Linked DNA regions of Arabidopsis thaliana. The protein of the gene in region 1 interacts with the protein of each later gene in a pairwise test. Each region holds a gene or a part of one and is shown on either strand. Other genes may lie near its edges.

Region 1 (4,213 bases):
AGGAGGAAAAGAACCGGCTGCGAGAGATGAGACGGTGGAAATCAACACGGCTATGGAAGAAGCAGCTGAATTTGGTGGTTATGCTCCGGGAATACTCTCGCCATCTCCGGCCTTGTTGCCAACAGCTTCTACCGGGATATTCTCTCCGATGTATCATCAAGGTGGGATGTTTTCGCCGGCTATACCACTGGGATTATTCTCGCCGGCGGGATTTATGAGCCCGTTTCGAAGTCCTGGCTTTACTAGTTTGGTAGCTTCACCAACTTTTGCTGATTTCTTTAGTCATATTTGGGATCAAGATTAGATTTTTTTTTGGTGTTTTGCTCTGTAATTTTTTTGTATTATGTATTTTGACATATCCAATGTAGTAGCCCAAAGGGTTTAAAATGAGCTTCATGTATAAAAAGATTAACTTTCAAAAATTTCAGACAGATTCCTAGAATGTAAAACTTGTCTGCAAACTAATATATACAGGAGTTACAAGATTCTCCTGACCTAAGATACTCTAATAAGTTTTGTGTTTTGAGAATAGGCTTCTTCATGAGGTTGTTGTAACAATGGAGTTCCAAGTTCCTCCTATCAATGTACCAACTCTCTCTCCTTTGATTGCTTTGGCGATGTTCCCAGGTTCCGAAAGATTGAATACCACAACTGCAAATTGACACAGAACTAAATAAGCATTCTTGTTGTATTTTAGATGATCATGTATGCATGTGGTCAAGGTTTGAGAGAGTGTTATAGAAAACAAGCCTGGGATGTTATTTTCTTGGCACAAAGTGATAGCAGTCATATCCATTACAGAGAGGTCCTTTGAGGTGACCTCTTGGTAAGTTAGTGAGTCAAGCAGACGAGCGTTTGGGTTTCTTTTAGGATCATCGTCGAACACGCCATCAACATTTGTTGCTTTCAGCACTACTTCTGCATTAACTGTGTCCAATGCGAAAAGTTTTTTTTTAGTGTTGCGAATAATCATTGGAGAAAACTTAAACGGAAACCACCTCTTTACTTACTTTCAGCACATCGAAGAGCCGCTGCAGTATCGGTGGTGAAAAATGGATTGCCTGTTCCAGCTGCAAATATTACAACCCTTCCTTTTTCTAGATGTCTGATTGCTCGTCTTCTTATGTAAGGCTCTGCGACTTCCGACATGCGGAAAGCAGTTTGAACACGGGTTGGGATGCCAATACTCTCCATTGTCGCTTGAAGAAATATTGCATTCATCACAGTTGCCAGCATCCTATCCAATTTCAGATAAACCAATGAGACCAAAAACCTCCAGTAGAGGAAAATTCTGGATCTTCTCCGAGTAAGAAGAAGAAGATCCTTTGACACAAAGGCGTATGATTACCCGATATAATCAGCAGAGGAGCGATCAAGGCCACTGCACCCAGCCCAGGTAGATCCACGAAAGATATTTCCTCCTCCAACAACTATAGCAACCTATTGTAAAGGCGTAAGAAGATCAGACAGAGCACACACAACATTGCAATGATTCTTAATGACCCAGACACATGATCTGTTGCCGTATAGTATGTTTAAATCATAACAAATTTCTAACTTTAAGTTGTGTAATGCCATATATCTCCACCCCTTAACTTAAGCTCCCGTTTCTTGTAAGTTTGAGCTAATTGATTTCCAGCATATTTGGTTACATCTACACAGGCAATTATCAAATACTTCGGGTATTATACTTATGTATAGGAAGAACTCAAAGCTGAATACATATCCACTAAAAAATTTTGAATCCAATTATCACAATGACAACTAGAACAAGAATGTTTGAATGAAGCGTTTAGAGAATAACCTCAATGCCAAGTCGAGTCACTGCTGCAACTTCCCTTGCAATCGCCATAGTAACCTAATTAACGGGAAACTGGATGAGACTTCTGAAGTAAGGAAACAGAGAACAAAGAAAGCAAAACAAGGAGGGTTCTTTTGGTATCACAATAAACCTTTGGGTCGATATTTTGCTCCTCGTCTCCAGCAAGAGCTTCTCCACTGACTTTGAGTAAAACCCTTCTCCATTTAAGCGGTGGTTTGGATGTTCCATCAAAGGAAGGCAGTCGTGGGAAAGATGATTGCCCGTTTAAGCTACTGAAAATTACAGATGATCGCAACAGAGTATTAACAAAATCAGCCAAAGTTCCAAACATTATAAATGGGTTAAGTTTTACTTCAACCAAAACAATAAAATCAGATTTGCAATATATTTTAATAAACTCTTAAACCCTAAACCCAGAAGTATCTTCATTGACAAATTTTCACAAACATCTGGTGGGCGTAAAGATTAAAACTTGAAGATTAATAATACCTCCCGTTCCCGTTCCCGTTTCCGTTCATGGAGTCTGGAGATGAACCATTGTCTGAGGACAAAGAAGAAGAGCAGCTGATAAGTACACGCCTACTGTAATTCTGGTTGGAGAAGAAAGTACGATTGCGAAGTGTAAGAGGGACGAAGGAGGTTCGGGAAATAGACGAAGAAGTTGAGATTGGGGAGCAAGAGGTAAGAGGCAACGGAATTGCCATTGCCGGAGAGATCTAAGAAGAGATTATTTACTGAAATATTCAGTAGAGAAGTGTCGCCGGCAAAGACGGGTTTTAAGTCTGAGAAGATAAGGTCTGGTTTCAATGTAATTTACTAATTAATCAAATGAATTGTTGTGATATTTAATGTGTATATATATATATATATATATATATATATATTTGAATTATATCCCCAATAATTCACTATATTTAATCTTATCTTATCATACAAAAACGAATAACTTTCATTAAATTCTGAATATATTTAGAAAATTTTGATATATGTCAAAATGTCTTTTAGAGTTTTAACATACGTTATACATATACTTCTATAAAAAATGTAATTTTTAATCAAATTTAATTGAACACCAATTTTAGTGCACTACATATAACAAATAGCTACAAATAGATAGATATTTTCTTATATCTAAATAATTCACACTATTTTATGTGTACTTATTATTGACCAATGGTTTTTTTTCTTTTTTTATAACAATTGATTAATAGGTTTGAAATAACTACATTTGCATCCTACAAGAGAAGTGAAGAACCACAAAGCATTCTTATTTTCGTTTCAATGACTTGAAAAATATGAGTTTTCTTACCAAGTTCAAGTTTTAAAAGTTTACTAATTGCAAATTTACAAGTAACATTGTTTTTGAAGAGTGAAACTAAATTCTTTGCTTTGCAACGACGTAAATTTTTGTAACACTAAAGCTCGATCTTTTAAATATTCCCGGGAAAAGTAAAAGTAACAAACACATATAAGAAGAAAAAAACACTGATAATGATCTTGAAATCTTTCATGGTATGAATAGTCAAGGATTATTCGTATTACAGTTTATTATAATGTTTAATTACTTGAATCCTTGTCTCTTTTCTTTGTCCTTGAAACCTTGCTTCAAAGATAAGCCACCACAACTCTTTTAACACTTTACTCATGTGCCTCTGTTCGAATAACGGAAAGATATGTTTTCTTTTACAGAAAAATTATAAAAGAACAATTTTACACTTAAACAAACACATACCACCACGTTTCTTGCGGGAGAAGCAACCGACAAATGGATACCGAGAAAGGTTATCCCAGAGGTTTCAGAGCAGAGAGTCTACGACCAGAAACGGGCCCCAGAAGCTTTCGGTTTGATAGTATGCAGATCGATGAAGCAGCCGATCTACAAAAAGACGAGATACGACAAGAGAACTCGACCTATCTTGTCCTCTTCAAGAACATAGACAGTGGAGAGTTGGAAGCCACGAAAGACTTCTTGGACCGAAACCCTGAAGCTTTAACCGCAATCTTAACCTCTAATGGAGACACTCCAATCCATAAAGCTGTTTTGTCGGGTCACATCAAGATCGTGGAAGAGATCATTAGAAGAATTCATGATCCAGAGCAAGTGTTAAAGATCAAGAACGATAATGGTTATACAGCGCTTACTTATGCTGCCACTGGTGGAATTGTAAGAATTGCAGAGTGTTTGGTGAATAAGTGTCCTGGTTTGGTCAGTGTTCGGAATGCGAAAGAGCATATACCGATCGTGGTGGCTTCATTGTACGGTCACAAACATTTGGTTCAGTATCTTTACAGTCACACACCTCTCAGTGATCTTGATCCTTGTGATGATTCAGATGAACACAAGGGCAAGAACGGAGCGATGCTCGTGACAAATTGTATTGTCGATGGATT
Region 2 (3,799 bases), on another chromosome or scaffold:
GCCAAGTGGTAATCAGCAGTGACAACTATTCGTTAATCTGTAACATTCATATATATGTTTTTAATACAAACTCAAATAAACATTCATACATAAAAGATCCTGAAATACTTCGTACGATTGCCAAACAAAATCAACAACGATAAATATTACAAACGGTGTAGCATGTCCCTTAGCGCAAAATAAGGCCCAAGTTTGCAAACACACACGGTCACACATAAAAGGCTACAAAGTTCAAATCAGAGTTTTATTCAAATTCTCTCCGATGAATAAAGCAAATAATTTTTGTGTTTAAATTATACTCCGAAAATAAATAAACAAAAATAATTGAATCCCGGTTTGTTTTTTTCTTTCTTCTTGTCATTTTTATATACAAAGAGGCGGATCGTCCCATTACTCTCCCTGCTCCAATGTAAACCGAACCGGTTAACCACAATGCGTCTCGATCCCGAGTGTAGTACGTTGAAAATTCTAAAAGTAAAACGCACGGATTGTTGGTTTAGTGTTGAAACCGTTTTACGGTTTGTCAGGAACTTTATAAACCGGTTGGTTAATCAAACGACGTAACTTTTGTCTAAGAGCATCGGCCCAAACCAAGCCCACGTCTCTTTGCTTGTTCTTCATCTCCACCATCACTAGTTCATTTGTTAGCCGGCGAACTTTAACGACGACATTAGCTACTCCATGTGGACCTTCAAGCTTTATCGCTCTCTCCTTCTTCTTCGCGATTCTCAAATTTAACTGCTTCGCAACTTCCTCGACCTTCCTCATAATAACGGCCGTACTCTCATCGGATACAAACTGGTCGCAATGATCCGGCGTCACGAAATTTCCAAACAAACCGGAGAGATTCGAGCTCGACGCCGAAGAAATCAAATCGAACGCGTTTAGAATTTTACCGTTTTCTTCCAGATCGTAATCATCGGCTTGGATTCCGATGATTTCGCTTGGATCTACTCCATGATTGAACCACGGATCCTTTAGAATCTCCTCCACGGTGATTCGCAGTTCCGGATTTGGCTCCAAGAGACGGCGGAGGAGTTTCCGCAGATCTGAAGATGTCCAATCCGGTAACTTGTATTGAGCCTTGTGGATTTTCCGGTAGAGTCCCATGATGTTTGGATCACGAAACGGCAAGTAGCCTGCGTTGAGAAGAAACAAAACGACGCCGCATGACCAAATATCAGCTTTAGAACCGTCGTAGCCTTTCTTCAAAAGAAGCTCCGGTGCTACGTAAGCCGGAGTTCCACAGAGCGTATGTAGCATTCCGTCGGGGTGGATCTGCTCCTTCATCGCACTGAGACCGAAGTCTGAAACCTTCAGATCTCGATTCTCGTCGAGGAGGAGATTCTCCGGCTTCAAATCACGGTGGAAAACTCCTCTTGCGTGGCAGTATCTCACGGCGGAGATCAATTGCCGGAAATATTTCCGGCTAAGACTCTCTGTGAAACGGTTGCTGGTGACTCTTGAGAAGAGCTCACCACCTTTGGCTAGCTCCATGACGAAGTAGATCTTCGTCTTTGTGGCGAGGACTTCGGAGAGGAGCACGATATGAGGATGACGGAGGCGGCGCATGACAGATATTTCTCTCTTAACGTGCGCCGTTAAACCGTCTTTCAAACGTTTTTTTTGTACGACTTTGATCGCAACGCTTTCGCCGCCGTTTTGAAGATCCTCCGCTTGGTAGACTTTGGCAAACGCGCCGCTACCGAGGAGCTTACCGAGATCGTACTTACCGAACAAAGCCGACTTATTATCATCTCCGGTGACGTTAACAATGATTGATTCGGAAGAATTAGAGTCTTCGGCCATTAACAAACAAACAAAAAAAACAGAGCAAAAAAACAGAGTAAAGAGAAACAGTCTAGGAATTGTAAAAGACATGCGCGCGGTGCCTCTTCTTATTGAAATTCCTCAACTTGCCACGTAAGTAAGCTATTATTTTAAACAAAGATTTTAAAATAGTTTGACTTTATTATAAAATGCATTAAACAAATAAATGAAAGAAACAATCTTCACAAAAGACAATTTCAAAATGCGATAACATTTTCGATTTTTACTAATTTGAATTAGTTGCGATATATCAACCAGGTTAGAGATAGAGTCATTTTCTCCTGAAATAATTTACGATTCAAGGAATTTTCATGATTCTTTCCCCAATGTGTGGTTCATGTTGTTGTTACCAAACATCTGCCTTGTCAGGTCAACCAAAACCTTCTAATTCCAGGTGGGATTTAAAGTCTTAATTTATTTGTTTTTGTAGGAGCTGGGAAAACTCGACATATTTTTTTTTTTTAAACGTTCATCGTTGACAAAAATAAAAACTTTATCAAAAATAAAAAGAACGTCTATATAAAAATATTTGAATAATGTGAAAGAAAAAAACAACGTGGATTGACGTTACTTTGTATAGAATGCTAAGCAGTATACATGACGATGTTTTAAGCTTCTTTACCGGTTAAGATGGTACTTTAGTTCTGAGGATATGATTTGGTTCTTAAAACATAAGAATATATATTCATCAGGTAGAAGTGTACAACCAAATCAAGACAAGTGAACCGGACCAAATTTTATGTGAACTATATCTCGCAACATTGCATGTGCATGTAAAGATGTTTAGACACGAATGTTATATCGTGGGTACAAATCAACCATCCTTAATTCTGATGAAATTGTTGGTCTTTAACCGCATCCAACCGTAGCAACCCAATCAAACCAAGAACATTATCCAGTCAATAAATAACCTTTAAATTTGAGTGACAAAATAATAACATTTAAATTTGAATGTTGTTTGAAATTCAATGCCACATATAATAATTACTTTTTAATAGCTGGAAATTTTGTTATCTAAGGATTAATGATGGGCAAATTAAGTTTTTCTTATAATTAATTTGAAGTTGGATTCGTGGATCCAAGTCATTCGTGTGTGGATTAAAATCATACTAGTACCCCTTTTGTTGTTGAAAAAGCCAAAAAATTAATCCTTACACGTGAACTTGTTCAAAACATTATCATAAACCTGTAAATTTTTGACCAAAAACAAGAAACCTCTAAAAAAAGAATTAGGAAATATGCAAAAGCAAAAACTCGACAAAGTAAAACGAATAAAGAAAACAACTCTTGCTCATTCATTCATGTGTTCCAATATGTAGGTGTTAGCTTTCGTAACGGTATTTACTATCTATTTGCCTTTTAGTTTATTGACTTTATCTGAATGAAAATTAACACCTAACAGTCGGCAGTAATACCCAACCAAACTTCAAAAGTTATCTCGATTTTATCGTACGGTCACACAGTCATTTAGACTATGACATCCGGGCGTCATTGTGGAGTCATACCCAACCGGAAAAACCAACCATCGAATCATCACATCGAATATAATGCCCAACCGCCAAGTCAACTTATTTATGTGCTATATCGATCCATTTAAAAACATCAATTCTTTTGAAAAACAAATACATCACCATTGCTTTATTATTGAATATTGATCTTCTCATTGTTATCGTCATCAAGAATAAAGACATCTACTTCAAAGAGACACCGTCTTTACCACCGTGATGGTGTACGTCAGCCATCGACATCGTCCGTACACCCACCCTCACTCTTAATTTAAGACGTTTCTTCTTTCTCACGCATCGTCATATATTGTGTGATTTCTTTAAAAATGTTATTAAAAAAACTCTACGAAGCAAAGTTTGTAAAACCAACCGTCAGAAGATTTCTACGACATTTTGTCTTTGTTTACGAAAAGAATTTAACAAAAGCATAAAAAAAAAAATTGATGGTTTTATGATTAGACAAA

Evidence for each region. The genes of interacting proteins can lie anywhere in the genome.
Region 2: the proteins of AT3G18680 (region 1) and CIPK22 interact in a two-hybrid assay, tested with the Arabidopsis thaliana proteins (one large-scale study listed by BioGRID).

The regions. Positions count from the first base shown.
Region 1 is NC_003074.8:6,425,846-6,430,058, reverse strand, and holds AT3G18680 (Amino acid kinase family protein), read right to left. Parts: upstream 2,657-4,213; 5' UTR 2,527-2,656; coding exon 2,312-2,526; intron 2,095-2,311; coding exon 1,953-2,094; intron 1,859-1,952; coding exon 1,805-1,858; intron 1,441-1,804; coding exon 1,349-1,440; intron 1,238-1,348; coding exon 1,011-1,237; intron 928-1,010; coding exon 539-927; downstream 1-538. Other genes in the region: MKS1 (MAP kinase substrate 1), read left to right, coding at 1-304; AT3G18670 (Ankyrin repeat family protein), read left to right, coding at 3,588-4,213. UniProt on the Arabidopsis thaliana protein: Catalyzes the reversible phosphorylation of UMP to UDP. Required for specific post-transcriptional processes of many plastid transcripts (e.g.
Region 2 is NC_003071.7:16,113,396-16,117,194, forward strand, and holds CIPK22 (CBL-interacting Serine/Threonine-kinase), read right to left. Parts: upstream 1,810-3,799; coding exon 514-1,809; downstream 1-513.